Linked DNA regions of Mus musculus. The protein of the gene in region 1 purifies or fractionates together with the protein of each later gene. This does not show direct contact. Links are inferred from orthologs where the notes say so. Each region holds a gene or a part of one and is shown in the gene's direction. Other genes may lie near its edges. The genes, in order: Smarca4, Chd7, Bcl7c, Cebpb, Rb1, Ss18 and Bcl7b.

What was found.
Region 2: the proteins of Smarca4 (region 1) and Chd7 purify together in Homo sapiens (affinity purification with mass spectrometry; 3 studies listed by BioGRID and IntAct, with this or other methods). This does not show direct contact. The link is inferred for Mus musculus from reciprocal best matches to the Homo sapiens genes SMARCA4 and CHD7.
Region 3: the proteins of Smarca4 (region 1) and Bcl7c purify together in Homo sapiens (affinity purification with mass spectrometry; 6 studies listed by BioGRID and IntAct, counting the BioPlex papers as one, with this or other methods). This does not show direct contact. The link is inferred for Mus musculus from reciprocal best matches to the Homo sapiens genes SMARCA4 and BCL7C.
Region 4: the proteins of Smarca4 (region 1) and Cebpb purify together in Homo sapiens (affinity purification with western blotting; 3 studies listed by BioGRID, with this or other methods). This does not show direct contact. The link is inferred for Mus musculus from reciprocal best matches to the Homo sapiens genes SMARCA4 and CEBPB.
Region 5: the proteins of Smarca4 (region 1) and Rb1 purify together in Homo sapiens (affinity purification with western blotting; 7 studies listed by BioGRID, with this or other methods). This does not show direct contact. The link is inferred for Mus musculus from reciprocal best matches to the Homo sapiens genes SMARCA4 and RB1.
Region 6: the proteins of Smarca4 (region 1) and Ss18 purify together in Homo sapiens (affinity purification with mass spectrometry; 8 studies listed by BioGRID and IntAct, counting the BioPlex papers as one, with this or other methods). This does not show direct contact. The link is inferred for Mus musculus from reciprocal best matches to the Homo sapiens genes SMARCA4 and SS18.
Region 7: the proteins of Smarca4 (region 1) and Bcl7b purify together in Homo sapiens (affinity purification with mass spectrometry; 6 studies listed by BioGRID and IntAct, with this or other methods). This does not show direct contact. The link is inferred for Mus musculus from reciprocal best matches to the Homo sapiens genes SMARCA4 and BCL7B.

Annotation. Positions count from the first base shown.
Region 1 is NC_000075.6:21,667,847-21,671,826, forward strand, and holds part of Smarca4 (transcription activator BRG1), read left to right. Parts: intron 1-1,088; coding exon 1,089-1,202; intron 1,203-1,702; coding exon 1,703-1,810; intron 1,811-2,637; coding exon 2,638-2,724; intron 2,725-3,980. UniProt on the Homo sapiens protein: ATPase involved in transcriptional activation and repression of select genes by chromatin remodeling (alteration of DNA-nucleosome topology).
Region 2 is NC_000070.6:8,749,227-8,753,206, forward strand, and holds part of Chd7 (chromodomain-helicase-DNA-binding protein 7), read left to right. Parts: intron 1-2,097; 5' UTR 2,098-2,278; coding exon 2,279-3,922; intron 3,923-3,980. UniProt on the Homo sapiens protein: ATP-dependent chromatin-remodeling factor, slides nucleosomes along DNA; nucleosome sliding requires ATP. Probable transcription regulator. May be involved in the in 45S precursor rRNA production.
Region 3 is NC_000073.6:127,705,628-127,710,195, reverse strand, and holds the start of Bcl7c (B-cell CLL/lymphoma 7 protein family member C), read left to right. Parts: upstream 1-1,429; 5' UTR 1,430-1,668; coding exon 1,669-1,760; intron 1,761-2,237; coding exon 2,238-2,316; intron 2,317-2,654; coding exon 2,655-2,763; intron 2,764-2,858; coding exon 2,859-3,020; intron 3,021-4,383; coding exon 4,384-4,469; intron 4,470-4,568. UniProt on the Homo sapiens protein: May play an anti-apoptotic role.
Region 4 is NC_000068.7:167,687,322-167,691,227, forward strand, and holds Cebpb (CCAAT/enhancer-binding protein beta), read left to right. Parts: upstream 1-1,593; 5' UTR 1,594-1,700; coding exon 1,701-2,591; 3' UTR 2,592-3,111; downstream 3,112-3,906. UniProt on the Homo sapiens protein: Important transcription factor regulating the expression of genes involved in immune and inflammatory responses. Also plays a significant role in adipogenesis, as well as in the gluconeogenic pathway, liver regeneration, and hematopoiesis.
Region 5 is NC_000080.6:73,319,062-73,323,041, reverse strand, and holds part of Rb1 (retinoblastoma-associated protein), read left to right. Parts: intron 1-898; coding exon 899-1,025; intron 1,026-3,980. UniProt on the Homo sapiens protein: Tumor suppressor that is a key regulator of the G1/S transition of the cell cycle. The hypophosphorylated form binds transcription regulators of the E2F family, preventing transcription of E2F-responsive genes.
Region 6 is NC_000084.6:14,630,565-14,634,544, reverse strand, and holds part of Ss18 (protein SSXT), read left to right. Parts: intron 1-868; coding exon 869-1,002; intron 1,003-3,980. UniProt on the Homo sapiens protein: Appears to function synergistically with RBM14 as a transcriptional coactivator. Isoform 1 and isoform 2 function in nuclear receptor coactivation. Isoform 1 and isoform 2 function in general transcriptional coactivation.
Region 7 is NC_000071.6:135,178,102-135,182,562, forward strand, and holds the end of Bcl7b (B-cell CLL/lymphoma 7 protein family member B), read left to right. Parts: intron 1-1,848; coding exon 1,849-2,019; intron 2,020-2,414; coding exon 2,415-2,494; intron 2,495-2,736; coding exon 2,737-2,829; 3' UTR 2,830-3,751; downstream 3,752-4,461. UniProt on the Homo sapiens protein: Positive regulator of apoptosis. Plays a role in the Wnt signaling pathway, negatively regulating the expression of Wnt signaling components CTNNB1 and HMGA1.

The DNA of each region.
Region 1 (3,980 bases):
AAACTACTAGCCTGTGAACCTGGGCAGAAGCCAGAGGCTGTTGACAGCTAGTATTTGCTCCCCTTCACGCCTCCTCGGGTCTTAGAAAGGTATCTATTGTGTTCATCCCAAGTTCCCCATCCTCCCTGGAGGCATGCTGAGGCACCAGCCCCTGTGAAAGGGACATTGATGTTTTTTTTCAATCCATGTAAGGAAGGAGGCTCTTCTGAGGCTCCATTTCCAGAGCTTCTCTTCCTACAAGCTAAAACTCTAAAAGGGATGACCAGAGCGCAGCAGAAAAGCTCAGGCCTATGCCATCTTAGTTGCCTCTCCTTCCTGGTGTTCTCTTCAGTGGGTCTCTTGGAGCTGGGCTTGTCGGCACAGGGGTAGGCAGATCTCTGAGTTTGAGGCCAGCCAGGGCTACACATATAGAGAAACCTGCATGGAAAAACCAATCAGTCAATCAGTCAAATAAAGATAAATGGATCCCTGGCTAACAAGGTAGCTCAGCAACTAAAAGCACTTGACACCAATCCTTGATGAGTTGAGTTTGAGTCCCAGAACCCACAAAGTGGAATCTGAGCCAACTGTGACCTCCTCAGGGTATACCCACCCTCAGACACAAACAAATAAGTAAACAAAAGACACTTTAAATGCTAAACAATGTAGCCTTGAAGCCAAAGAATAGTATCTGGATAACAGTGCTTCTTAGGCAATGACTCCTCTGAGGCCAAGAGAGGAAGGTGTGGGACTAGTGTCAGAGCAGCCTTTGGCATTGATCAGACAAGCTTATAATGCCCCAAATTGCCTGACTTTAGTCAGCTGATGCTGTGGTTGTAAACACCAAATTGGTACTGCCTAAGGGAGACCCAGCGGCCAATTGTCATATGTGTTCAGGTATAAGGTAAGCATGGTACCTGGCCATTAGGCATTTCATAAATTACACAAAAGGCAGAAGATTTTCATTTTCCCAAGGATGAATGTCTTCCTCTTCTCCCAGAGGGCACAGGGGTACCAAGTGACAGCTGCTGTCCATGACACAGCTGCCCTTCCTATGCCCTGCCCCCCACTTTTGGAGGAATTGTTATAATTTACTGTCTGGCTCCCAGGTGGACCTGAATGAAGAGGAGACTATCCTCATTATTCGTCGCCTACACAAAGTTCTGCGGCCCTTCCTGCTGCGGCGGCTCAAGAAGGAAGTTGAAGCCCAGCTCCCTGAGAAGGTTGGTGTTGGCAGAAGCCACAGGTGCCATTTGTGGGGCTGTTCCCAGGGAGAGTGTAGTCAGGTGATCCTTCCCTGGACCCGCTCCATGGAATTGGAGTGGTGACTCACACCACTGTGCAGCAAAGCCAGGACCTGGGTCAGAACCGAACTTTGTCACACTCATGCTTGCTGTGTCCTTGTCCAAACTCCTGTCCACAGACAGAGGCTAGGACTCAGGTTGGATCTACTGAGTGGTATCAGTGGTGTGGGCCCTCTGCTCTATGCACCCACACTTGGCTTGCCTCTCTGGTTGACTTCACCGTTTATTTTCTGACAAGCTGTGGAAAGCCTTCCAGAATTTTGACCCAGAATCTCCTCCTCTTCCCAGATCTCCCTACTTTGAGGGCTCCTCCCTCATACCCCATGTCCTAATCAGAGTGCTGGTCACAAGGGTCCACTTGGTGGCACAGGCAACCCAGTTTAAGTTTGTATGGCCTGAGAGTGTTCTTTGCTCCACAGGTAGAGTATGTCATCAAATGCGACATGTCAGCCCTGCAGCGTGTGCTGTACCGTCACATGCAGGCCAAAGGTGTGCTGCTGACTGACGGCTCCGAGAAGGACAAGAAGGTTTGTTCCAGGTTCCTCTTTATCTATTTCACGATTGTCTAAAGGGAGAGGGTAGATGAAGAGCACCATGGGATCTGAGAATTGAATTGGTACTCTGCCCAGGAGACTTCGTTTGGCCCCATCCCTCAGGCATTCAAACAGCCACAGCTGTAATGTATCCTTTGAGGATGCTTACTAGACTGCTTTCTGGAGTTGCCCTTGTTTGAGTACCTGCCTTCCTCGAGACAGCAGGAAGCCCTGGGCTGACTGATGCAGAGTGGGAATAGTCCTATGGAACTTTACTTACCCAGCAGCCTTATCTGTCATGGCCTCTGCACCCTTCCTCTTTCTATTACTGGGGGCATCCCGACATTGGAAAGAGTGGGAGGGGGAGCCACTGCTCTCTTGGGAGCACTCAAGAGTGTCATTCTACACCTCCTCTAAGCAAGCCTGGGCTTGTCCCCCAGGGAATTACTAGTCCCTGCAATCCGTACCCAGCATCCTAGCCATGGCCTTAGGTGTGTGTCTGTTGTTCAGCCCCTTTCTTACCTGTGCGTTGGAGCATTGCGCTCCTTGCTTCCCTCCCTAGTACAGATCACTGTACCCTTCTTTGTGTAGCTGTACTGTGAGTGTGCTTACCCTTTGCTGTTTGCTATGTTTGCTTCCATTCAGTTCTTGTGCCAGTTAGTCTCTTAGGTCTTCTCAGAGAACTCCCTTCCGTAACAGGGCTACAAAGATAACCACCAGCTTGCTCTGGGCCATTCTTCTACCACCCTGCCCAATCTTGCCCACCTCCATCTTGCCCTAAAGGCAGGATTCCGTTTTGACCATCTCATGTGCCTCTGCAGGGCAAAGGTGGCACCAAGACACTGATGAACACTATTATGCAACTGCGTAAGATCTGCAACCACCCCTACATGTTCCAGCACATCGAGGTAAGGCCACAGCCCAGAGTCCTGGCTCTTGGTGGCAGAGCTAGGCTGCTTGTCCCTGACGATTGTGGCCATGTGTGTACATGTGTTAATAGGCCAGAGGTTGATGCCTTTATTATCCTCGGCTTATGCTTTAGAGGTATCTTTCATTGAACTTGGAGCTCACTAACTTTTAGACATGATGGCTAATGAGCTCCACAGATCTGTTTTTCTCTACACAGCTCTGAGGTTACTCACATCAGTCAGCAAGCCTGGCTTCTAAGTGCCAGCTATCCAGCTCAGGTTGTCATGAGTACAGCAGGGCATATCTGTCTCCTCAGTCCTTAGGATGTTCTTAAGAATGGCTAAGGAGCTGGCCATAGTTCCAGCACTCAGGAGGCAGACCCAGGTAGATGTCTGTGAGTTCCAGGACAGCCAGGCATGGTGCACTCAGGGGACAAAAGCAGATGAATCTCTTGAGTAAAGGCCAACCTGGTCTACAGAGAAAGTAGGACAGCCAGGGCTACACAGAGAAAGGAAAATCCTGTCGAAACAAACAAACAAAAAAGACTTAAGGTCTTCTCACTAGCCACTGTCTTTACACCTGTATCTGTCAAGTTTTCCTTTTTCTGGTATTTATGGGGGGTGGGGGGAGTTGCCCAGTGTAACCCAGGCCTGTGACAAGGAAACAGGTGTTCTAGTTTTGGGTGTGTACATCTCAGCTGATGTTTAGCAAAGCCATCATGGGACTGAAAATTAAAGTCTCTAGAAGTATTTGCTCAAGAGTCACCTCTAGGCTGGAGAGATGGCTCAAAGGTTAAGAGAACTGGCTGTTCTTCCAGAGGTCCTGAGTTCAATTTCCAGCAACCACATGGTGGCTCACGACCATCTCTAATGAGATCTGGCCTGTAGACACATGTAGACAGAACACTGTATACATAATAAATACATCTTTAAAAAACAGTCACCTTGTAGGTATTTTCTGCGTGTTTGGGGACTCCTCCCTTGGGAAGTGTTCCCACTCCTGAGGTTACACGTGTCTCTGTCAGGGCTTCTTACCTGCAGGTTATGAAGTGCTGATGGACAGACATCAGTCAGGTCTGTGACCACAGCCACGGTCATCATGAGTAACTGTGCTTTTGGAGAATCTCGACTCTTGCCTAAAAAGCAAGCATGTGTTAGTATTCTTAGTGTACAGTTTCAGGGTCACTCAAGACCTCTGAGTCCTTAGCGTTCCATTTCAGGGTGGTCTGAGGTGTTGACGTTGGTGCCTAATATCA
Region 2 (3,980 bases), on another chromosome or scaffold:
CTGCTGGGTCCTTAGCTGATAAAAAGCAAGCGTCAAGTCCACTGCTGCTACTTCAAGCAGGCTCTGCAGGGCCCCGGGCTTCGGGGTGTGCCCCAGCAGACGAAGCTGTTGGGAAATGAAGGAAGGTCTTCCAGAACATATAAGTGCTATTACCTTCCTTAAACTGCGTGGTAAGCTGGCTGCATGGCTGGCTTAAGCTGTTATCAATTACATTGTAACATTTATTTCCTTGGAAGTTAAGAGTGAGCCTTGAGCAAATGAAGACTGACTTTTTAAGTTTTTTTAGGTTACGCACAAATTCAGTTTATCAATATTTGTTGCACTTGGCACTGGAATTTCTACTCCCTGCTCTGGACTTTTATTTGTTCTGGGGGGAAAAAAAAACCCAGCATATTTTTAGAGAAACAGCTTTCCTATGTACTTGATTCTCTCCTGTCTGACCTCTGTATTTGGAGAAGGTAGATCAGAAAATATATGGCAGGTAGTGGCAGAGTGAGGCGACCTTTGACGTTGGCTGACAGCTGTCACCTGAAAGCTACAGACCCTCTCAGGTGTCATGTCTGTAGTGCTGACAGTGAGCAGGAATGTTGTTTACATTTCCATAAACAGAGTCTCCTCCGTGTTACGAATACGTTAGGATAGGGCAGGTAGAAGAGAGGGTTATCTGTCTCATGGGTGACTCCTTACAGAGTTGGTTATATGCATATTCTTGTGGCAATCCGCAGTAGAATTCACAACTGAGTCTGTCCAGAGCATCTCTGGAAATTCTCCATCGTGTGCTTCTGTGTGTCGCAAGTGGGTCAGTGCCACCCAGTGCTTAATGTGCTGTGAGAGGAGATCAGCTGGTGACAGTCCAAAGGAGTCTCAGGGTCCAGGCATTTTTCTTATGCGAAATCATTCTTGATTAGTTTGTTGATTCAGTAAGCATTGAACAAAACCACTTTTCTGTTTTGGTTGTTAAAGCAGTCTTCAAATCAAATTGGTTATTTTAATATGACCCCAGATCTATCAGAGTTTATAGCTAAGGCAGAAAGCTGGGATGCTATTCGGTTAGCATAGGAGGTGAAGGGATGTGCCAGCTAGCCCCACTCCCTCCTGCTGTGTCCTGCTTTGTCCTATAAGGTTTTTAAAAGGTCTGGTGGATATTTTTAACTTTTTTTCTGTTAAAGTACCATCCAGTTTTGGCTAGTTTCTGAAGAGGTCTCTGTCTCTACCAACAGGAATAGTCAGTTGTCTACAGCTAGTCTTTGAGTAGTCACTTAGCCCTCACCACAGCCAGTGGTGGGGTAAAATGGAGCCTGTGTCTTGACCCTGCTACCATCTGCCCCACAATCGCCCCACAATTCTGGAACGTGATGGGCCCAGAGCCATGAGTGAAATCGGTCCTCACGGAGAATGAAAGCTTCACTTGTGGTCTCTTTCTGAATCTTGCCTATTCCTGCTATTAAGCATAATGAAATTATGAATTTATTGTGTTTTCAAGCTCGCTTTTCAACCTCATTACGGGTGCTTTCTTGTTAGATGCGTCTGTTGCCGTTGCAGAGTTGTATGTGGGCTGTAAATATCTAATTTGTACAAAATGACTGATTTTGGTATTTGTATAATCCTCCAGTCAATTTAACTAAGTTGGGCTTTTCCCAGTCCTCGGTGCCACGCTCGCCGCTCATCTGATTACCGCTCATGGGAGTGAGGTTAAGGGGTGCTGTTGGGAACCAGAGCTTTAGCCCAGCAGATGGGCTGCCGGCTATATTCATACATCTGCTTGCCTGCTGTGGCAGCTGCTGCTGCTTCACGTTGTGTCCTTTTGTTCTGTTCCATCCAAGAACGGAATGTGAGGAAGTGTAGTGAATGGATTAATTTAAGGTTAGGTTAGTGTTGTGCTGCCTTTCCACGTAACCGATCAGAGTGCTTCTGGTAGAAGCTAATGAGTTTCCCTTAAACTGAACTAGGTTTGTAAAATACAGCTCAGCAAGGGGCCTGGGTTGGCATTGTTGATGGGAACTAAATTCAAATGTGTAAAATACCGGCAGCTTTTATCATTTGTTCCTAATTCTTTGTTTCCTTTTTTCTCTCTTCTCACCCCCCACTCCTTTCCAGGACCTATATCCAGACTTCGCCCGCCCGCCTGACACTGCAGGGTCCGAGAGAATTAAGGAAATCTAGAATGACACGAAGAAGATTAGTTAAGGATTATAGGTTTTGAGGACAAGCACCCCAGAAAAGTGAAGCACAGACAAGCTCCCAGGCTGTGTTCGGAGGAGCCGTGTGTTAGAAGAAGATGGCGGACCCAGGGATGATGAGTCTTTTTGGCGAGGATGGGAGTCTGTTCAGCGAAGGCCTCGAAGGCCTCGGGGAATGTGGCTACCCCGAAAACCCCGTGAACCCCATGGGTCAGCAGATGCCCATAGACCAAGGTTTTCCCTCCTTACAGCCATCCCTCCACCATCCTTCACCTAATCAGAATCAAACCAAGTTGACCCATTTTGATCACTATAGTCAGTATGAACAGAAGATGCATCTGATGGATCAGCCTAACCGAATGATGGGCAGCGCCCCCGGGAACGGATTGGCGTCTCCGCACTCACAGTATCACACCCCTCCCGTCCCCCAGGTGCCCCACGGAGGCGGTGGTGGCGGTCAGATGGGAGTCTATCCCGGCATCCAGAACGAAAGGCACGGGCAATCTTTTGTGGATGGCGGCTCCATGTGGGGCCCCCGGGCCGTTCAGGTACCAGACCAGATACGAGCCCCCTACCAGCAGCAGCAGCCGCAGCCGGCTCCTTCGGGGCCCCCGGCACAGGGCCACCCCCAGCACATGCAGCAGATGGGCAGCTATCTGGCACGTGGGGATTTCTCCATGCAGCAGCACGGCCAGCCACAGCAGAGGATGGGCCAGTTTTCCCAAGGCCAAGAGGGCCTCAGTCAGGGAAGCCCTTTCATTGCCACCTCAGGACCCGGCCACCTGTCGCACATGCCCCAGCAGAGCCCCAGCATGGCCCCTTCCCTGCGCCACCCAGTGCAGCAGCAGTTCCACCATCACCCCGCTGCTCTCCACGGAGAATCCGTTGCCCACAGTCCCAGATTCTCCCCCAACCCTCCTCAACAAGGGGCTGTCAGGCCACAAACCCTTAACTTTAGTTCTCGGAACCAGACAGTCCCCTCCCCTACTGTAAACAACTCAGGGCAGTATTCTCGATATCCTTACAGTAACCTAAATCAGGGATTAGTTAACAGTACAGGGATGAATCAAAATTTAGGCCTTACAAACAGTACTCCAATGAATCAGTCGGTACCAAGATACCCCAATGCCGTGGGATTCCCGTCAAACAGTGGTCAGGGACTCGTGCACCAGCAGCCTATCCACTCCAGTGGCTCACTGAACCAAATGAACACACAAACTATGCACCCTTCACAGCCTCAGGGAACGTACGCCTCTCCACCTCCCATGTCACCCATGAAAGCAATGAGTAACCCAGCAGGCACGCCGCCTCCGCAGGTCAGGCCCGGAAGTGCTGGGATGCCCATGGAAGTTGGCAGTTATCCAAATATGCCCCACCCTCAGCCATCTCACCAGCCCCCTGGTGCCATGGGAATCGGACAGAGGAATATGGGCCCCAGAAACATGCAGCAGCCTCGTTCGTTTATGGGCATGTCCTCGGCACCCAGGGAGCTGACCGGACACATGAGACCAAATGGTTGCCCTGGTGTCGGCCTTGCGGATCCACAAGCAATCCAGGAACGACTGATACCTGGCCAACAGCACCCTGGTCAGCAGCCATCTTTCCAGCAGTTGCCAACCTGTCCTCCACTACAGCCCCACCCAGGCCTGCACCAGTCTTCACCTCCACATCCCCATCACCAGCCTTGGGCACAACTCCACCCGTCACCCCAGAATACCCCACAGAAAGTGCCTGTGCATCAGGTAAGGGGTGCAGACGCCTGCCCTGTGGCGTGAAATGCAACATTGTTAACTTGTCTAC
Region 3 (4,568 bases), on another chromosome or scaffold:
AAATGTATTTGTTTTCTGTTATATATAGAATTATATGTAGGTATGTATGTATATAATTCTAATTATTCTAATTATTATTCTAATGCATGCTGTCACATCTGACTTCTTTCATCCAAGATCTCTCTTCACTGTTGCACATAGCTGGACTCTGGTGATTCTGGCTGTTCTGTCCGTGTCCATGGTAGAAATAGGTTGTAATTGCTTTTCCATTCCATTCTTTTTTTTTTTTTATAAAGATTTATTGTTATAGCTGTCTTCAGACACAACAAAAGAGGCCGTCAGATCTCATTATGGGTGATTGTGAGCCACCATGTGGTTGCTGGGATTTGAACTCAGGACCTTTGGAAGAGCAGTCAGTGCTCTTACCCACTAAGCCATCTCGCCAGCCCCTTCCATTCCATTCTTTGTGTTGTTTCCAGGTTGTTGCTACTGTGAAAAGAGTCCCAAACTTTCCAGTATTCATATCTTGGTGTTCATACAGACACCACATTTTGTCCTAGTGAGGTTTCTAGTGATGTAATAAACACCATGACCAAAAGCACCTCGTGGAGGGAAGAATGTAGTTCAGCTTGCAGTGATAGTCCGTTATGAAGTCAGGGAAGGAACTTAAAGCAGGAACCTGGAGGCAGGGACTGAAACAGAGACCTTGGAGGAATACTGCTTGCTGACTTACTCCCCAAAGCTTGTCCAGCCTGCTTTCTTAGAGTGTTCAGAGGTGGCACTGCCCTCAGTGGTGTGGGCTCTGCCACATCAACTACCATCAAGAAAATGGCCCCACAGACTTACCCATAGGGCATCTTGATTGAGGCCCTTTCTCCACCAAGGTTCCCTCATCCCAGCTGACCTAGTTTATGTCAGGCTGACAAAAAACTAGGCAAGCACACATTTCTTCTGTTGAGTGTTGATAGCTTGGGAGTGGAAAGTGTTGGAAAACGGGGTTGGTATAAGTTTTTCACTGGAAGACTATCAGTTTTCCAAAGTATCTCTACCAATTACACAACCTGATTCAAGGAATGCCAAGTTGCTCTGCTACCCCATCTACATGGTCTTTCTCATTCCCGCCATTCTGGCTGAGGAGGCCCGCTCTCCACTCGCAGCGTCTGGCGCGTACTTGGCACTGTTCATGGGACTGTTCAATGAATGAATGAACAAATTAAGTTGGGCAGCGTAGAATCAAACAGCCTGGAGAGGGCAGACGCGCGCACAGAGCATTTCAGGGACGCCCACCCGCCGCGGACGCACACCAGGACAGTCCCTCTCGCGCACCCCTGAGCCCACGTGGCCGGAACGCACCGCCTCGCTCGGGCCGCGCGCGTCCAGCCGCACAGCTGCCCCCCAGCTCTCCCTCTCCGTGGCTGGCAGAGGGCGCTGTGCGTCCGTGCGCCCCGAGGGGCGGGCCCGGGCCGGGGCGGGGCTGGCCGGGCTTCCAGGCCGGGGCTCTAGCAGCCCGCGCCGCCCGGGCCGCTCCGGGGACGGGCCGGGGCGGGGCGCGGTCTTAGGAAGCCAGGCGGGGACGCGCGGAGGCGTTGGGGAGCGAGGGAGGGCGCGGCCAACTCCCGGAGGGACGGCAGGCCGAAAGAGCGGCGCTGGGGCCTGGCGCTCAGCCTGAGATCGCCGGACCACAGGCCGCCCCGCCACGGGCTCTGTCCCGGCCCCAGCCCCGCCAGCATGGCCGGCCGGACCGTGCGGGCCGAGACCCGGAGCCGGGCCAAAGATGACATCAAGAAGGTGATGGCGACCATCGAGAAGGTCCGGAGATGGTGAGCGCTGCCCCCGGGCCAGGGATACAGCCAAGCCACCTCCTCCAAACGCGTCCGCCCTTTCCTGGCCCGCTGCCCCCGCCCACCAGCTGTGCTCTGAATCGACAGGGCGCCCCCTTTCCCCGGCAATTCCCAGAGGTCTACAAAGCGTGGTCCGGAGTGGTGCTTTCCCTGAGCGGGAGCCCTCATCTATGCCCCGCCCCCTGAAGCTTTTGACACTCTAGCAAGCTTGGCCCCGGGTCTTCATTGCCAGAGTCCCTGGCCAGGCCTTGGTGGCGCCCTGCTGAGTGCCCCAGGTGTCTGCAAAACCGCAGCTCCAAGTTATATCCGTTTCTGCTTTGCCCTGGGGTTTGAGGGCTCTTTCTGCTTCTGTGCCAGTGTTAGCGAAGCTGTCCCTACCCTAGCACACCTCCCTGACCTCCAGTCTGTGGGGCTCATCCTTGGGCCTCCCTGATCCAGTCTCCTGACCTCCCACAGGGAGAAGCGCTGGGTGACTGTGGGAGACACTTCCCTTCGAATCTTCAAGTGGGTGCCTGTGGTGGATCCCCAGGAGGAGGTGAGCAAGCCCCAACCCCCAACAGGCCTTGCATCTGTGCAGCCTCAAGCAATTTCCCTCCCAGCCTTGGCCTCCACCTTCAGTCGGCTTGGAGACTCCAGTGTGGAGCCCAGGCAGATGGTAACGATTATTAGGGGGCGCGAGCGCACTTACACACACACACACACACACACACACACACACACACACACTTTCTCCAAGTTCAAGGCCTAACTCAATCTACACAACCTGATGCAGCACCTTTCGCTTCTCTGAGCCTAGGTTTCCTTATTCGTATTGAAGGGCTTTGTAAGAGCTCCCTAGACAACTAGCTCTGATCTTACCTCTCTAACCCCCAGGAGAGGCGGCGGGCAGGAGGCGGGGCAGAGAGATCCCGTGGCCGGGAGAGACGTGGTAGGGGCACCAGTCCCAGAGGGGGAGGCCCCCTCATCCTACTGGATCTCAATGGTATGTAGAGATTCTGGAATGGAGTTGGGTGGGGGGGACTGAAGGAATCCCCTGGGGATCTCTGGCTAATTAACGCGCGGCTTTTGCTTCATCAGATGAGAACAGCAACCAGAGTTTCCATTCTGAAGGTTCATTGCAAAAGGGTGCTGAGCCCAGCCCTGGGGGGACGCCCCAGCCCAGCCGCCCTGGATCACCAACTGGACCCCCAGAAGTGATTACTGAAGATACTCAGCCCCCACAATTGGGTCAGGAGAGAGGTAGGGCCCTGTGGCTCTCAGGAGCCCTCTCATCAAAGTTGAACCCACCATCCTGTCCTTGTTTCTTATATTATGTCCTCTCACCCGGTCCCGCCTCCCTCAGGGAATCTTCCCTGACCCTGGCAGAGATCACCTCCAGCTGTGCCTCAATCCTCCGGCTTCTTAGATCTGTAGGGAGCATATCACCAGCTGACTTTTTTTTTTTTTTTTTGCAGATTTATTTCTTTGCTTGCTTATTGTCTTTTTCTGTTATCATCTCCTGTCAGCCATACCGATCTTGATCATGTGGGATGCGTAATAGATGTTCAGGGAATAAATAATTCCAATAATCATAGGGATTAATAGCAGTAGATTAACAGCTAACAGAACCGCTTGTCTGTGAGTCGTTCCTCTGAGCACTCCGAAGTTCTGTTGTTTGTTTTCGCATTTAATCTTCACTGTCATCTTTTGGGACCAATGATTCTATCATGAGTCCTCTCTGTACACGAGGAGACCAACATCCAGAGAAAGATGCCCAGACTTAAGAGCCAGTGAGCAACACCTTGGGCCTGAGCCTTCTTCAGCTCCTCTGTCTTCAAATAGTCCACCCCTTGTCTGGTCAGTACCACTTCCCAGGCGTGCCTGACTCCTGTGCCTTTGGCTCTGCCTTCTCGTTTCTCCCTTGTACCTGCTCTGGCCTCCACGCCTGTCCCCGGTGGCTGCAGAGCAGCTCTCCTAAAGCACACGTTCGAGACGGCTATTTTCCTGCCTCACATCCTTCTTCGGCTCCCCGCAGCCTCTGGTTCCTTCACTTCACACTGAGGCCTTGACAAACTGTTGCCGCCAAAATTGTTCCCCTGTCAAGAACACCATGACATGGCCCCTGGGCCATACCGAGATTGTTCCAAATACTTTTGCTAATATAAACGGATAGGGCAGGGGAAGCGTCCAGTGGTAGGTGCTTATCTGACATGCCTAAGGCCCTGAGCCCCATCTCTACTACCACAGAAATGTAAGAAATGAATGAGTAAGTGAATGAATGAACTTGCTACCTGGCACTTACTGAGCAGCTCCACCCTTGACCCCCACACACAGCAGCCTCTCGTGGTCTGACTGACACTATTTCCATTCTGCAGATGATTTAGGATCCGTGGTTGCTAAGCATCTATTTCTGTCTGCCTAAGTTCTGCTCTACCTCTGTTGTCTCCTGGCTCACTCCCCACTAACGAGATCCAACCTGACTGAGTCTGCCTTCCTTGGCAACTAGGGATCCCCCTCTGCTGCTGCCATATGTGACCAGTGCCTGCCTGCTTCTTTTGTCCCTGATCCATTCTCCCACCACAGAGTAGCTGCTTAGGAAGTCTCTCTTTGCTTGGTATTACAGATCCAGGGGGGACACCTGCAGGCGGTACTGATGAACCCCCAAAGCTGACCAAGGAGGAGCCTGTTCCAGAATTGCTAGAAGCTGAGGTGAGAGAGGCCAGAGTCTGCACTCTGGCCTTGTGGGGACTGGAGGCTTTGGGGAAGCAGGGAGACTTGGTGCTAGGCTTAGCTGGAGGTTGGATTCTT
Region 4 (3,906 bases), on another chromosome or scaffold:
TAGACAGACAGACAGACAGACAGATAGATAGACAGATCCCTCCCTGGAGGGGCTGACATGGGGGTGGGCAGCAGGGACAGAAGGATGACAGGCCAGGTGAGATGGGCTTTCAGGTCAGGAGTGTTGGGGGCCAGGGACCCAGGACTGGGCTCCTGGAGCAGGGTTGAGGGAACAGATAGTGTGCTCACTCTCTGCCTTCCTGGAGCCCAGTCTGAGGGGAAACTGAGGGAAAGAATACGTGCGTGCATGGCGACCTACAGGCAGGGAAGAATAGTCACCAGTGTTGGAGAAGGGAGGGCCCGTTAGTGAAGCCCCAACGTCCCACTTTACAGCCAGGCCTGGCTGGGTGGCCCTGGGGATGTCACCACGCCTCTCTGGGCCCTGATCCCTTCCTGGCCCAGAGGCTGCTGGGAAGGCCAGAAAGCCGCAGGCAGGCAGGGCTAGCGTCTTACCCTTTCCCTCCCTGCCCCCCACCCCCAAGGGCACAGGGAGATGTCATTTCTCCAGCTCTTGGGGGCGGAGGTCACCCCAGCTCAGCAGATAACACCGAAGGTTGAGCAACACCCCGCCAGCTTGCCGGGGCCAGGGCTGGGGTCAATGGGTCGGGGGTCAGCCCCTGACAGGTTGGCAGCTCCTGCTTGAGTGGCCCACCTAGGAGTGGCAGAAGGGTGGGCCCCAAGAGTTGCCCTGGGCGTCCTCAAAAGGGTCTCACCGGAGAGAGGCTGGTGATCCCAGCCCATTCAAGTGCACGGGGTGGAGGGGTTGCCTCCCCAGCTTGCAGGGTGACCGCTGGGTCCTTATGGCTGGAGTGGGGTCTACCATGCTCCCACCGCAATCACCTGAGAAGCCTCTGGGCAGGGCTGTGCAGGTCTTAGGAAGGCATCGTACTTCTCGGGGGTCCGTTTGTCTCTGATGACACCACTACTAACAATACCAACACTGTCCACGGAGGGAACTCAGAAGCAAAGTGACTCACCCAGACACAGTGTGGCAGAACCCCCAGCCCTGCCACCTTCATGGAGAGGCGCAGGGAGTGGCGTAGGCAGGTGCGGTAGGCGGGCCATACATAGGGTGGAGGGCTGGGATCCAGGACAGCGAGCATCCCCGGGGTGGGCGTGCACCTGGAGAGTTCTGCTTCCCAGGAGTTGGGGGGGGGGTCCCAGAGGTGTGGGCAGCACCTGGGTGGGAGGACATGCACCCCGTGGAAGGCTGCTTCCAGGGAATTGGGGCCCGGGGACAGCGGGCAGGATCCGAGGGTTGGGGTCGTGTAGCTGGAGGAACGATCTGTTTCCCAAGAGTTGGGGGTCCGGGACAGCGGACCGGAGCCGGGACGAGCCACCGCGTCCTCCAGCAGGGGGCGGGCGGCGGCCGCGCTCCTCCGTGTTCCCGAGGGGCGGGAAGGGGGCGGGCTGGCGTCACCCGCGTCCGTGGCCATCGCGGGGCTGGCGGGACGCCCGGGTCACCGCTCAGCCTCCCGCGCGAGGACCCCCGCCGCGCCCCACTCCCCGCCGCGCCCTCTCGCGCTCCCGTGGCCGGGCAATGACGCGCACCGACCGGGTGGCGGGGCGGCGGGAGGGGCCCCAGCGTGACGCAGCCCGTTGCCAGGCGCCGCCTTATAAACCTCCCGCTCGGCCGCCGCCGCGCCGAGTCCGAGCCGCGCACGGGACCGGGACGCAGCGGAGCCCGCGGGCCCCGCGTTCATGCACCGCCTGCTGGCCTGGGACGCAGCATGCCTCCCGCCGCCGCCCGCCGCCTTTAGACCCATGGAAGTGGCCAACTTCTACTACGAGCCCGACTGCCTGGCCTACGGGGCCAAGGCGGCCCGCGCCGCGCCGCGCGCCCCCGCCGCCGAGCCGGCCATTGGCGAGCACGAGCGCGCCATCGACTTCAGCCCCTACCTGGAGCCGCTCGCGCCCGCCGCGGACTTCGCCGCGCCCGCGCCCGCGCACCACGACTTCCTCTCCGACCTCTTCGCCGACGACTACGGCGCCAAGCCGAGCAAGAAGCCGGCCGACTACGGTTACGTGAGCCTCGGCCGCGCGGGCGCCAAGGCCGCGCCGCCCGCCTGCTTCCCGCCGCCGCCTCCCGCCGCGCTCAAGGCGGAGCCGGGCTTCGAACCCGCGGACTGCAAGCGCGCGGACGACGCGCCCGCCATGGCGGCCGGTTTCCCGTTCGCCCTGCGCGCCTACCTGGGCTACCAGGCGACGCCGAGCGGCAGCAGCGGCAGCCTGTCCACGTCGTCGTCGTCCAGCCCGCCCGGCACGCCGAGCCCCGCCGACGCCAAGGCCGCGCCCGCCGCCTGCTTCGCGGGGCCGCCGGCCGCGCCCGCCAAGGCCAAGGCCAAGAAGACGGTGGACAAGCTGAGCGACGAGTACAAGATGCGGCGCGAGCGCAACAACATCGCGGTGCGCAAGAGCCGCGACAAGGCCAAGATGCGCAACCTGGAGACGCAGCACAAGGTGCTGGAGCTGACGGCGGAGAACGAGCGGCTGCAGAAGAAGGTGGAGCAGCTGTCGCGAGAGCTCAGCACCCTGCGGAACTTGTTCAAGCAGCTGCCCGAGCCGCTGCTGGCCTCGGCGGGCCACTGCTAGCGCGGCGCGGGTGGCGTGGGGGGCGCCGCGGCCACCCTGGGCACCGTGCGCCCTGCCCCGCGCGCTCCGGCCCCGCGCGCGCGCCCGGACCACCGTGCGTGCCCTGCGCGCACCTGCACCTGCACCGAGGGGACACCGCGGGCACACCGCGGGCACCGCGCGCACGCACCTGCACAGCGCACCGGGTTTCGGGACTTGATGCAATCCGGATCAAACGTGGCTGAGCGCGTGTGGACACGGGACTGACGCAACACACGTGTAACTGTCAGCCGGGCCCTGAGTAATCACTTAAAGATGTTCCTGCGGGGTTGTTGATGTTTTTGGTTTTGTTTTTGTTTTTTGTTTTGTTTTGTTTTTTTTTTTGGTCTTATTATTTTTTTTGTATTATATAAAAAAGTTCTATTTCTATGAGAAAAGAGGCGTATGTATATTTTGAGAACCTTTTCCGTTTCGAGCATTAAAGTGAAGACATTTTAATAAACTTTTTTGGAGAATGTTTAAAAGCCTTTTGGGGGCAGTAGTTGGCTTTTGAAAAAAAATTTTTTTTCTTCCCTCCCGACTTTGGATTTATGCGAGATTTTGTTTTTGTGTTTCTGGTGTGTAGGGGGCTGCGGGTTATTTTTGGGTTGTGTGTGGCGGTGGGTGGGGGTGTCGCATCTGGGCTTTTCTCTTCCCATGGCAGATGGGGTGTCAGCCCCTCCCCCCAGGAGAGGGGGCAGAGTGCCAGGTCAGGAATTCAGGGTGACTCAGCACCCACGGGTGCTGGGGGACTTGCTAGAAACCCTGCTTGGGACGGGCCGCCCTCGGCTTGGTTTGAGTGTCAGACTTGTGTTGAGAGGACTAGACATTCTGTAGGAAAGGCTAGTCCAGACAGCTGGGTCAGGGCAGGTGAGTTCTGTGTGTTTGGTGGTGTGGGGGAGACCGCACGCCTGTTTGGTGTCTGTGTCCCTGTGTAGCTGGAAGAGAGATTGGGCCGAGAGGAAGGTGAAGGGAACACTTCCTACTCTGCTTTCCCTTTCTCACTATTTTTTCTGCCCAGAGGGGACTAGGAGCCTCTCTTACTGCGCTCAGAGTGGCTGAGCCAGGACTTGAACGCAGGGCCAACACTCAGATTTGCCGGGGCAGCTCTGCTGCAGCCGGGCCGCATTAGTGAGAGTTGAGGGTGTCCAAGGAGTAGTGGATGTGCTGTGTCCCGCCGTGCCTGGCACGCCAGAACTGTTACATAAGCGTTTGTTCTTGTTATTATTTTTGATGGGAGGCTCCTGGCATTTGACTGTGTGAGTGTGGAGGCCAGCGTTCTGCAAGCCCTGGGCCT
Region 5 (3,980 bases), on another chromosome or scaffold:
CCGGTCCGTCTCCACTGAGAATAAGTCTGCTTTGACAGCTGGGGTGTTATTTCTTTTACACTGTCTCTCTCCTAAGTACTACATGTGGAAGAGAAGCTGAGACTAGGAGACTGAAACACTTGCGTTATTGAAATATGCAGACGCTAATTATGCTTGAAGAAGGAGTTGCCCAGCTGGAAAAGTGGTCAGGAGCACAGATGATGGAGTTAAGACTCATGGTTCATACCTGGGTAATTTCCACTTGGTATGCCTCTAGTGACTGCTTTAATTTCCCTAATATGGTAGATGTGTAAAACATGAATGGGAAGACTTACCAAGTATGGCTGATGTGGGGACTCAGGAAAACCATGCATAGGATCATAGTAAAATTTCAAGAATTAAGTTGCTCTTCCTAGTGTTGTTGTTATATGTCAAATTGAAAGGAATTAGCCATTAAAAGCTTACAGTTAAGAAAGGTCAAAGAGATAGGACTGAAATACGTGATGCAATCATTTCTATCAAGTTAATCATTAAGAAATACAGGAAGGTGGAGAGAATGTATGGATTGACCAGGGTGTGGTTTTTTCGTTTTTGCTGTGACAGTTCCGTCTTCCCAGTGTGCTTTAGCTAGTGCACTTGCTGTGTCTCACAATGCTGTCCGGCTGCTCTGGAGTATATGTGCTTCACCATGCTAGCAGCTCTTCTTCACTTTGTGCTAGTCTTATTTGGAAAACCCACAAAAAAGATAAGCATATGTTTAAATGATGTGTAATGGTTCTCAAAGATAAAGTAAGACCTTAAAGCACTCAGAGATGTTCTCTTTCAAAACTGTGCTGGTGTGTGCAAACTATAGAAACAAGTGTTTGCTTAATTAGTTTGATCTGCAAGTGTATCAATTTTGTAACTTTTTAATTTGTAGGCTTGAGTTTGAAGAAATTGAAGAACCCGAATTTATTGCATTATGTCAAAAGTTAAAGGTACCCGATCATGTCAGAGAAAGAGCTTGGCTAACTTGGGAGAAAGTTTCATCCGTGGATGGAATCCTGGTAAGAATGCTTTTAAAGTTAATTTTTTAAAAAGAAAATCTATAAAGTAAAATATATAAAGTTAGTGATAATTTCACTATCCAAGAGTACCCTCTGATAGCACTAGAATGCTTTTCATTTCAATGGTTTCTTAGGTTTTTAATTTTTATTTTACATGAAAAAAATTCTGATGGTGATGGTGATGATGGCAGTGGCTGTGGTGATGATTCTGACGATGATAATGATGATGGTGGTGGTGGTGTGGGAGCTGTGTTCCTTCTGCTTTTAGTGAAGGCCTAGGGATTGAACTCAAGTTGCCAGGCCTGCTGGGCACCAAGTACCCACAACCATTGAACTGGCTTCATTTTAAACTGATATACAAAGTAACGAGTTTCACTGTGACAGTTTTTGTACAGATACACCATTGTTGTTTTCTCTATTCATCTCCTCCCCCACTCTTCTTTCCCATCCATTATCTTCCATTTGCTAGTCCCCTGCCACCTCTAGACGGCTTCTCCTGCATTTGTATCACACCTGTGCCACACACATTTGTGTCACACACTCTTTTCCCCTATGCCTTAAAACTCTCTTCCTCTCATCTCCCTTTCCAACTTTCGTGACCACACACACACACACACACTCACTTAAGTTTTAGAATCTTCATAGGAGAGAACATACTTGTCTTTTTTTAGTCTGACTTATTTTGACCTCCAGTTGCATTCATTTTTGTAAGGATAATGTGATTTCATTTTTATTTGTGGTTGAATAAATTCTATTTTATATATATTGACTGGCTTTCTTCATCTGTGCATGGGTGGATGAACATCTCCACTTGCTCTATCTCTTAGCTATTCTTAGTAGTATGGCAGGAAACATGGATCTCTCTGCTGTCTTGACGTCGAGTCTTTTGGACATACATAAGATAGTGGAATGGCAGTTTTATGTAACCTCACACTGACTTGCATGGTGTTTGCCCTACTCTACCTTACTACCAACAGTATATAAGGCTCTCTTTTCCCACATTTTTGCCAGCTAACATTTGTTGTTTTGATGTTAGCCATGCTGACTTGGGCAGAATGGAATCTCAAAGCAGTTTTAAGTTGCATTTCCCCATTTCAAATTTTTAGTGCTCCTATGTATATCTTTTTCTGAGAACTGTGTTTAGTTGGTTCATTAACCTGTATTTTGAGTGAATGATTTGCTTTAATAATATTTAAAATTTGAGGTTCTTTATCAGTTTCAATACATGCTGGTATTGAAGGTGTGCCCCACCACACTCAGCCCTGTGTTATGTTTAATCACAATCTGTCTCTCTGTCTGACTGTCTGTCTGTTTAATGTGTGTGCATACATGCTCTCATGCACTGCATGTGTCGTGGTCAGAGGGCATCTTTCAGGAGTCAGTTTTTCTGCCGTATGGGTTCTAGAATTGAATACAGGTTATCAGGCTTAACAATTGCCTTTACCCATTAAAGTATCTCACTGGCCTGATATTGGGCAAAAGATATTGATTGAGTTAAACATCTACAGCAGGTAGATGCCCAATTACCTCAGCATTATTTGAAGAGGATTTTTTCCCCCAGTGTCAACAACTAGGTGGCTATAAATGTATAGGTTTAATTCTGAATTCTCTTTGTTGGTCCATGTATTTTTATGCCAATATCATACAGTTTTGTTACTATGGTTTTACAGTATACTTTGAAATCAACTATTCTGACACTTGCTTAGTATTGCTTTTGTTACTCAGAATGTTTTGTCACCTCATATTAGTTTCATTTCTATTGTGATAAAATATCCTGACAAAAAACAACTTACAAGAGAAAGGTTTATTTTAAATCACAATTCCAGGTTATAGTCTATCATAATAGGGAAGTCAAAGAGGCAAGAACTTAAAACAACTAGTCACATCACACCTACAATAAAGAGCAGGCAGGGATAAGTGCATGCATGCCCAGTACTCATAGAATTTTCTCTATGAAAATTTATATAGTTCAGAGGCAAAAACCCTAGAATGGTGTTGCCTACTCTCAGGCTAGGTCTTCCCATTTCAATGAAAAGATTGGGTGGGGTCTTTCCCCAGCAATTAAGGCAGTCAAGGCAGCTTGCCATAGCTGTGTCCAAAGAATTCCTGAAGACTCCCTTCCTAGTAATGTTACACTGTGTCAGGTTGGCTATTCAAACTAACATTGCTAAGGGGCATCATCCTAGTTCTGTAAAGAATGTCACTAGAAATAGGCCTCGCATTGTATTGCTTATAGGTATTTTTGGTAATGTAACTATTTTCACAGTATTAATTCTGCTAACCCAAGAGCATAAGACTTTTTTGTTTGTTTGTTTTTTAATTTTCTAGTATCTTCATCTTCTTAAGGGTTCTTAAATTTTCACTGTAGAGGTCTTTTACTACTTTGGTTATGTTGATTCTTAGGCATTTTCTTTTTTGAAGCTAATATTTTTTGTCTTGTTTGTTTGTTGTTACAAGGTCTTGCTTTGTAATTCTAAATGATCTAGAACTTATTATGTAGACCAAGCAGCCTTGAAGCACAGAGATCCTGCCCTGCTGTAAGTGCTGGGATTAATGGTGTGTAACACCATGCTCTTGAAGCTGTTAGGAATGGGATCTTTTCTTTTCTTGGCAAGTTAGTTATTGGTATGTAGAAAGGTACTTATTTTTGCTTGTTGACTTTATATTCTGCAGTGTTGAAAGTATCTAACACATCTAAGAGTTTTCTACTGGAGTCTTTAAAATACAGGATCAAATACCTTCGGCAAATAGAGATGCTTTCTTCCCCTTCTATTTGCATCCCTTTCATTTCTCGTTTTGCTGCTCTAACGAGGACTTCAAGCATTATAGTGGAGAGGAGCAGTAAGAGTGAGCACCTTTTCCTCATCCCCAGTTTTAGAGGAAACACTTTCAGTCATTCCCCAATTAGAGTGATGCTTTCCATAGGTTTGTTGAGTAGAGCTATTATTGTGTTGA
Region 6 (3,980 bases), on another chromosome or scaffold:
CTGGTGCAGTCCTTGTTTTTATGGTAGGTCTTAAGTGGCTGTTGGGGAAGACACTGAAGTGTCCAAGCCATGAGCTTCCGCTGGAGAAATGGCTCTCGGCTGTCGTTAGTTGAGTTTCTAAAGCGGACAAGCTTGCTTAACACAGGCGGTCTCTCCCATAGGGACAATTACACTATTAACAATACTTGATTCTCAGTGTGTTAACTCTCTTCTAAAATTTAATTGTATTTCACGGGGGTGGGTGTTTTGCCCGCTTGTATGTATGTGTACCACGTGTGTGCTCAGTGTTTCAGAAGGTCAGAAGTGGGCATGGATCCCTGGAACTGGAGTTACAGAGCCATACCTGCAGCCTTCAAAGTGTAACTTTTCACTCAGCTTTTTTTCACATTACAGCTTGTGGCTTTTTGAGTCATTCATTTTTTATTTAAAATTCTGTTGATATAAGTTTATTGATGGTGGTACAGCCCTACCATTTTGATGACTTCAAATGTAAATTTAATCACACAATTAGTATGTCATTGTTTTTACAACTTTAGTCAGAAATTATGTCATTTGGGCCTGCTTCTAGGTTATAGAACCAGGACCTGATCCTGGCTAACTTATGGATCTTAACTTAGTTATTATTGAGGGGTTACTGTGGGCCATTGCTTCCTGGGCCTGCTTTATCATAGTCCCAGTCATTTCACTGAAGCAGCAGCCCCTATTTTGCTTTTACTATAGTCATTAGCTTTGATCTCACTGTGCAAAAGTGACTGACTGCCCTTTCAGTTTAGATATAAGAATTTTGTAACATCTGTTTGAAATTCTTGCTGAAATTGTGGAGACTCTTTCTAGCTTTACCTTTGGGCTTGTTGCTGTTGTCTTGCAGGTCCTTCGCAGGGCGGTCCAGGTCCTCAGTATCCTAATTATCCTCAGGGTCAAGGTCAGCAGTATGGGGGCTATAGACCAACACAGCCAGGACCACCCCAGCCACCCCAGCAGAGGCCTTATGGGTACGACCAGGTAAGTTGCCTACCAGCCGTGGAGTTACCACGCTGTCCTTCATTTCTGTGGACTTCTGAGTCAAGATTTCACTATGTTGTTGTTTTGAACCTGTGATCTGTCAGCTTCCATGAACTGGAATTTCAACCATGATGAATCACATGTAGCCCCCTTCTCATGACTGCTAGCCACTACTACACTCTAATTAGTACTTTAAGATATTTGAGAAGACCAGCACAGTTGAATAACAATCACTCTTGATTGTAACAGCTTGAAGTACAACAGCAGCTCATTGTCCCCGGACACACTGTCATCGGTACTTCTCCAGTGTCCCTCATTAGTGAACGCGGCCCGTGCTTTCCTCTGTTCCCCAGTGCAGCTCACCCGGCATACTTGGACTTGCTGTCAGAGCTCTTTGTGTTCCAAGTTCCCTGCTCACACTTTCACACGTGTTTCTATCGCCAAGTGTTTTTTCTCTACCCTCGATTTCAGATGTTGAAATGTGTCTTACTTATCCTAAGATAAGATTCCCTAGAACCTGGTAGTATCCATCTGGGTTTTTCTCTTTTTAATCAGACCCCGCAGACTTGGACTGTGCGCCTAGGCACTTAGGGATGCCGCCGTGGTTGTTCTGACTTGCTCTGGGAATGACTATAGACCACGGAATGTTTCAGGTTTGTGCAGTGAATTTGCAGTGAGGACATCTTAATACATTCACTGCTTGTAAGGTACTAAAGTGGGGGAGTTAGGAACATGGAACTGTGTGTAGTCTATAAGTCAGGGATCTGAGGCTAATGTAGAAGATGTCACAATTTGAGAATGCTGTAACTAGCACTAGAGCTGCAAGCAGTGTTTCCTGCTCTGTCTGTCTGTCTGTCTATCTGTCAGGCCTGCAGCCCTTTGTACTGGCACTTGGTCTCTAAGTAAGGACAAGAGGACAAGAGACAGACACGGGAAGGGTGAGGTGCATGAGCGTGCCTGCTTCTGTGCAGAGCAGAGTGGGGGAGAGGGCAGAAATTGTACTCTGTGTACAGTGCCTGGGAAGGTCCGAAGGTCACACTAGGTTCCCTGAAACTGCAGTTACAGACACTTGTGAGCTGCCGTGTGGGTGCTGGGAATTGAGTCCAGGTCCTCTGGATCAGCAGCCAGTGCTCTTAACTACTGAGCCATCTCTCCAGCCCAGAAATAAAGTCTGTCTAAGAAGTAAAATTATTATTGAATAGTTAAGTTACCTTTAAAAGACCTGATGAGGGTCCTAGGGAGATGGCTCAGCTGTTAAGAGCACTTGTTCTCCTGGCAGAGACCCAAGGTCAGTTTCCAGCAGTATGTCAGGTGACTCACAGCCACCTTTGCTTCCTGCTTCCAAGGGGATCTGACTATATCACGTGTGTGCATGGTACCCGTACACAGACACACGGATATGCATAATCTAAGAAAAATGCTTTAAAAATTAAAACCAGATTAGATAACTTGATATATTTTAAAAGGTGAGACTCGTTGTTCTTGCAAGCGTGGTGTGCAGCTAAGACAGACAGATGAATGCTTCCGGCTTCTAGAGCGGATGTCTCCATCTTCCTGCTTCTGTCATTCGGCACTTCTCTGCCTCTGCCTCCTCCTCCTCCTCCTCCTCCTCCTCCTCCTTCTTCTTCTTTTATTTTTTTTCCAATTTTTTTATTAGGTATTTTCTTCATTTATATTTCAAATGCTATCCTGAAAGTCCCCTATACCCTCCCCCACACCCTGCTCCCCAACCTACCCACTTCTGCTTCCTGGCCCTGGCATTCCCCTGTACGGGGGCATATAATCTTTGCAAGACCAAGGGCCTCTCCTCCCAATGATGGCCGACTAGGCCATCCTCTGCTACATATGCAGCTAGAGACACGAGTTCTGGGGGTACTGGTTAGTTCATATTGTTGTTCCTCCTATAGGGTTCCATCCAATAGATGCCTGTGAGCATCCACTTCTGTATTTGCCAGGCACTGGCATAGCCTCACAGGAGACAGCTATATCAGGGTTCTTTCAGCAAAAACTGAAAAAACAAACAAACAAACAAACAAACAAACAAACAAAAAACTGGTGTATTCAATAGTGTCTGTGTTTGGTGACTGATTATGGGATGGATCCCCGGGTGCCGCAGTCTCTAGATGGTCCATCCTTTTGTCTCAGCTCCAAACTTTGTCTCTGTAACTCCTTCCATGGGTGTTTTGTTCCCAATTCTAAGAAGGGGTGAAGTGTCCACAATTTGGTCTTCCTTCTTCTTAACTTTCATGTGTTTTACAAATTGTATCTTGGGTATTCTAAGTTTCTGGGCTAATATCCACTTATCAGTGAGTACATATCATGTGAATTCAAGGCCCATACCTAAACATAATAAGAGCAATCTACAGCAAACCAGTAGCCAACATCAAAGTAAATGGAGAGAAGCTGGAAGCAATCCCACTAAAATCAGGGAATAGACAAGGCTGCCCACTTCCTCCCTATTCAATATAGTACTTGAAGTCCTAGCCAGAGCAATTAGACAACAAAAGGAGGTCAAGGGGATACAAATTGGAAAAGAAGAAGTCAAAATATCACTATTTGCAGATGATATGATAGTATATATAAATAACCCTAAAAATTCCACCAGAGAACTCCTAAACCTGATAAACAGTTTCAGTGAAGTAGCTGGATATAAAATTAACTCAAACAAATCAATGGCCTTTCTGTACACAAAGGATAAACAGGCTGAGAAAGAAATTAGGGAACCAACACCCCTCACAGTAGTCTGCCTCCTCTTTTATACCATAGTCCACCTGAACTGCAAGGTAGAGCACTTAGGTAGTTAGCCAAGTTCCTGAACAATCCTGCTTCACACTTTAGCCTACACAAGACACTGGCTGACTTGTTGTATTTAGAATGTGTGTGGTGTGTCTTCATCTGTCTGTATGCTGACTGGGGCAGGGTCTCTGAGTTGAACTCAGAGCACCCCAGTTCCTTTGGTCTAGCCAACTGGCTTGCTG
Region 7 (4,461 bases), on another chromosome or scaffold:
CTCTCTCTCAATCAGAACTTTAGTTCTCTCTCTCTCTCTCTCTCTCTCTCTCTCTCTCTCACACACACACACACACACACACACACACAAACCAAAAAGCCACTTTCGTTTTTGTGTGGAGGATAGAAGTCCTGGAAAGAGGGAAGACCACAGTGGCCTTACACTGTCTTTTAGGAACCATATTCGAAGCTACCTAGCGTGCAGTTGCCCTTGCTTGCCTCCTTCTTCCCCACCAAGGTCGGTGTCATGGAGTAACAAGAACACAGGGAAAGGCTGTTCAGTGATCAGAAGGCTCCAGGAAACCGGAGGCATTGGTCTGGTCACCAACCCCTCCTTTTTGTTTGTACTTCCTGTGTCTGGCACTGGGATATCTGGGAGAAGGCAGGCAGTGGCAGGGACACTACAGAGTGTGATAGAAGGTGACCAGTATGTGCACAGGGGCCAGTAGAAGCATCAGAGCTCGTGGGATGGCCTTTCCACCTTGGGGAACACTGAGGCTCCTCCAAGCAATTGATTTTGTTGCAAATATATAGGAGCTTTGCAAGGAACCTGGAAAGGGAAGTCATAGCAGCCAGCAGCAGGAAGGTTGGGAAAGATACAGGCCGAGAAACAGTGCTCAGTCAGCTGCTAGCTGCTGAAGCCAGGGAAAAGGTTAAAGAATGGCAGGCAGGGAGGCCCTAAGGAGTGCAGGGACAGAGCACTCTCCACTGTAGGAGCCATGTTCACTTTGTCTGTAATTGTAAGGCCGAGCAAGATTCAAGGCTGTCACATCAGGCTAGGCAGGTCTGAAGGTGACAAGGAGGTCTGAACTGAGGCACCACAGAGGAAAAAGCAAGTGCAAGTGAGCAGACTGTGCCTGCTGGAGGCAATGGGGGAGGGGACTGTGGCTGCTTCAGCTTTTAACTTACTTGGTGACCTTAAGCCTTTAGACAGCCCCAGGTGCTAATCTCTCATCCTTGGGACAGTCCAGTGTCTGAGAGCCTGAGGTGATCTCCTCCAGGCACCACAGCCTCCATCAGGTACTCTGAGGTCCAGACACGTGGTGCTGCCATTCTGTGCCATGGGAAGGCACAGATGGCACCCCTGCCACCCACTGTGCAGCAAGAAGCTACCAGGCCAGAGCTGTAATTGGTCGGCAATAGCAGCATGGTTATATAAGCAGAGCTCCACATTCCTGGGCTAGAAATGTTGCAATCATAGGTTTTGGCTGCATGTTCTATATATTGTCAAGTAGAAAATGCTTGGGTTGGGAATATGGCTCAGTTGGTAGAGCGCTCCGGCAGTACACAGGAAGCCCTGGGCGCCATCCTCAGCACCACACAGAGGCAGGTGTGTGGGTGTATGCCTCCAAGCTCAGCACTCAAGCACTCAAGAGGAGAAGCCAGGAAGCTCAAGTTGATAATGAGTTCGGAGACATGGTGAGCTCTTTTTTTTTTTTTTTTTTTTTGGTTTTTCGAGACAGGGTTTCTCTGTATAACCCTGGCTGTCCTGGAACTCACTTTGTAGACCAGGCTGGCCTCGAACTCAGAAATCCGCCTGCCTCTGCCTCCCGAATGCTGGGATTAAAGGCATGCACCACCATGCCCGGCTCATGGTGAGCTCTTGTCAGGTGTGGTGAGTCACGTCTGTAATCAGGACTTGGGAATCAGAGCCAGGAGGACCAGTGCCAGGTTGTGGCTAGCCTGGTCTATAGAGTGACACCTGTCTCAAAGCAAGTCTGCTTAAACTCTGCAGAGAGTACCCAGGACATGGGAAACCCACATGGGCCTCCTTAGTGTTAGCAGTGTGCAGTGTGTCAGTGTGCCAGCGCCAGCTCTCAGCTCTTGCCTTACTGTGCTTGCTTTCCAGATGAGAACAGCAACCAGAGCTCTGTGTCGGATGTCTATCAACTCAAGGTGGACAGCAGCACCAACTCAAGTCCCAGCCCCCAGCAGAGCGAGTCCCTGAGCCCAGCACACACCTCAGACTTCCGCACTGATGACTCCCAGCCCCCCACATTGGGCCAGGAGATCCTGGAGGGTGAGTCATGGAGGTGCCCCTATGCATTTGTGGCCCTTGTTAGCCTCTTTTGTGTGCTACACAACGGAAGTTGTTTTGGTGTGGATAATGTGTGCTTGCTGTTGGCTGTATCTGTTCTAGATCCTTCCATGTGCTGTTTTATCTGATGTAGCAGCCCTCTCAGAACAGGGGGCCTTAGTAGGAATGGTGAGCTTTAGCTCCCAGTGTTTGCCATGCTGGGATGGTGGCCCTCTGTGATCCACTCACACTTCATTCTTCCCACATGAGGGATAGTGGCTCTTGGCTAGACACATGTGGTTCCTGGCCCTGCATCCTTTTGATATGAATCTCAGGAACTGCCCCCAGGCCAAGGGCAAGGCTAGACTTACCTTGGGCTAAAATTGCTGCTCTTACAGAACCTTCGCTGCCTGCATCTGAAGTTGCAGATGAACCTCCCACACTCACAAAGGAAGAGCCAGTGCCGGTGGAGACACAGGTAAGAGGTTACCAGCCTTCCCTATTTCCAGGGAAGAGAAGGAAAGATCCTAGGAATTGGGTGGGTAACACAGCTGTGCTATGCTAGGCTGTAGAGTCTGCTGGGAAAACAGTCACTGGTTCTAGAATAGGGGCAGGGTTTGGTCACCTAAAAGCAGGCAGAGGGCAGGCTGCAGGCTGCAGTGTGGTGAATGGGCAGGGCTGCTCGGGGTGGCTCATCACACCCTGTCCTGCTACTTCCAGACCACTGAGGAAGAGGAGGACTCTGGTGCTCCGCCCTTGAAGAGATTCTGTGTGGACCAACCTGTAGTACCGCAGACCACGTCGGAAAGCTAGCACCGTCCTGGCCCCTCGCCTCCTGGCCCCTGCCTCTATTTATTGCATTCTGGTCTGGCCGAGCTCTGATGCTGGGGTCCGGGCAAGCACTAGGGTCCAGAGCCTGTGCGTGGGAGCCCTCTGGGCTAGAAGGCTGATGGAGGGCGTGGGGTCGTCGCACCATCTTCTTGTTCCTGACACTTGTGTCTGCTTGCTCTTGAGCAAAGGAGCGCTCACATCTTTTCTGTAGCCCAAGTAGGCCAGAGCATCAGGGTTCATTTCTCACCTCCAGAACCACTGCACGGAGCTGCTGGCGCCGCCACGGGGAGAAAGGTGTGGAAGGCGCCCACCTGAGAGAAGAGTGCCTAGGATTACTTGAATTGAATGGAGACTGTGGAGTATGGACTTTGCCACAGGGCCAGGCCCTGCAGGCTGCTGCTGGGAGAGGGACTGACCGGTAGAGATGTGGAGAACACCGGAGAGAGGCTCTTCCGGGACGGAGGGGCTTTCGCCACCTTTGGGCAGAAGACCCATGGGAGATGCATCCTGTGCCTGAGGCAGACCTGCCTCTGTTGGATGCCCCAGCTGCTCCCAGCCCTGTGCCTGCCAGAACCTTCTGCTGCATCCTCACACTCACTAAGCACACCTGAAGCTTTCTATTCACCCGTCCTTTCATTCCAACGTCCCCACCTCCTCCTGCAGAAAACCCCAGCCATGATTGGAGGTTCTGACCACAGTACCTGCCCCAGTACTCCTTCAGCTCAGACTTTCTAGAAAGTTCCTTTTTCTTTAAAATCTGCATGTTTAATTAAACTTTATGATTTTATTTTTTGTCTGAAAAAAGAAAAGTTTAAGAAAATGGAAATGGGTAACAGCAAGTGAAGACCTATTTTAGCACTGAATAGAGTATTTTTAAAATTAAACTTTGAAATATGTCTTGTTAGTACTTGACAGCTTCTTTCTACAAAGTTATGGGAGCTGAGTTGGGTGGGTGAGTGGTTGTGACAGCATCCTGTCCACTGGATGCCCTTTCAAATGTAAATGCTTTCAAGGCTGCCCGGCCTGGAATGCCAGCCCTCAAGAGCCTGAGGCGGGAGAATCTGGAGGTTTGGACTCGGCTTTCTGAGAAAACCCTGCCTCAGGAAAATAGACAAAGAAAATAGGCTTGAGAAAATGGTGCAGTGGGTAAAGCGTTTTACCTGGGGAGAGTGAGGACGATTTCCAGCCCCACCTAGGTAAGGCCAGATAGAGGACTGCCGTCCATTATCCCTGTGTTCCTATGTGAGGTGGGAGTCAGAAACAGACTTCCTGGGAGCTCAAGGGCCAGCTAACCTGGACTACACAGATGACCAAATGACAGTGGAAGGCAAGGACCAAACTTGAGGTGATCTTTTGACCTCCATATGAACCCTGGTACACGTGCTGACACTCATGTGAACACCCGTCATACGTGAGGATCTAGTGTATGTATGTATGTATGTATGTATGTATGTGCATGCATAAGTTCTATACATCCATTCCTAGGCAGGAGAGAGAGGTGGCTTGGTGGTTACAGGCAGCACGTACTGCTCTTACAGACGATCTGAGCTGAGTTCCCAGCACCTGCAGCATGGTTCATGACCAGAGGGGTTCTACCTTCCATACCACTTGAAA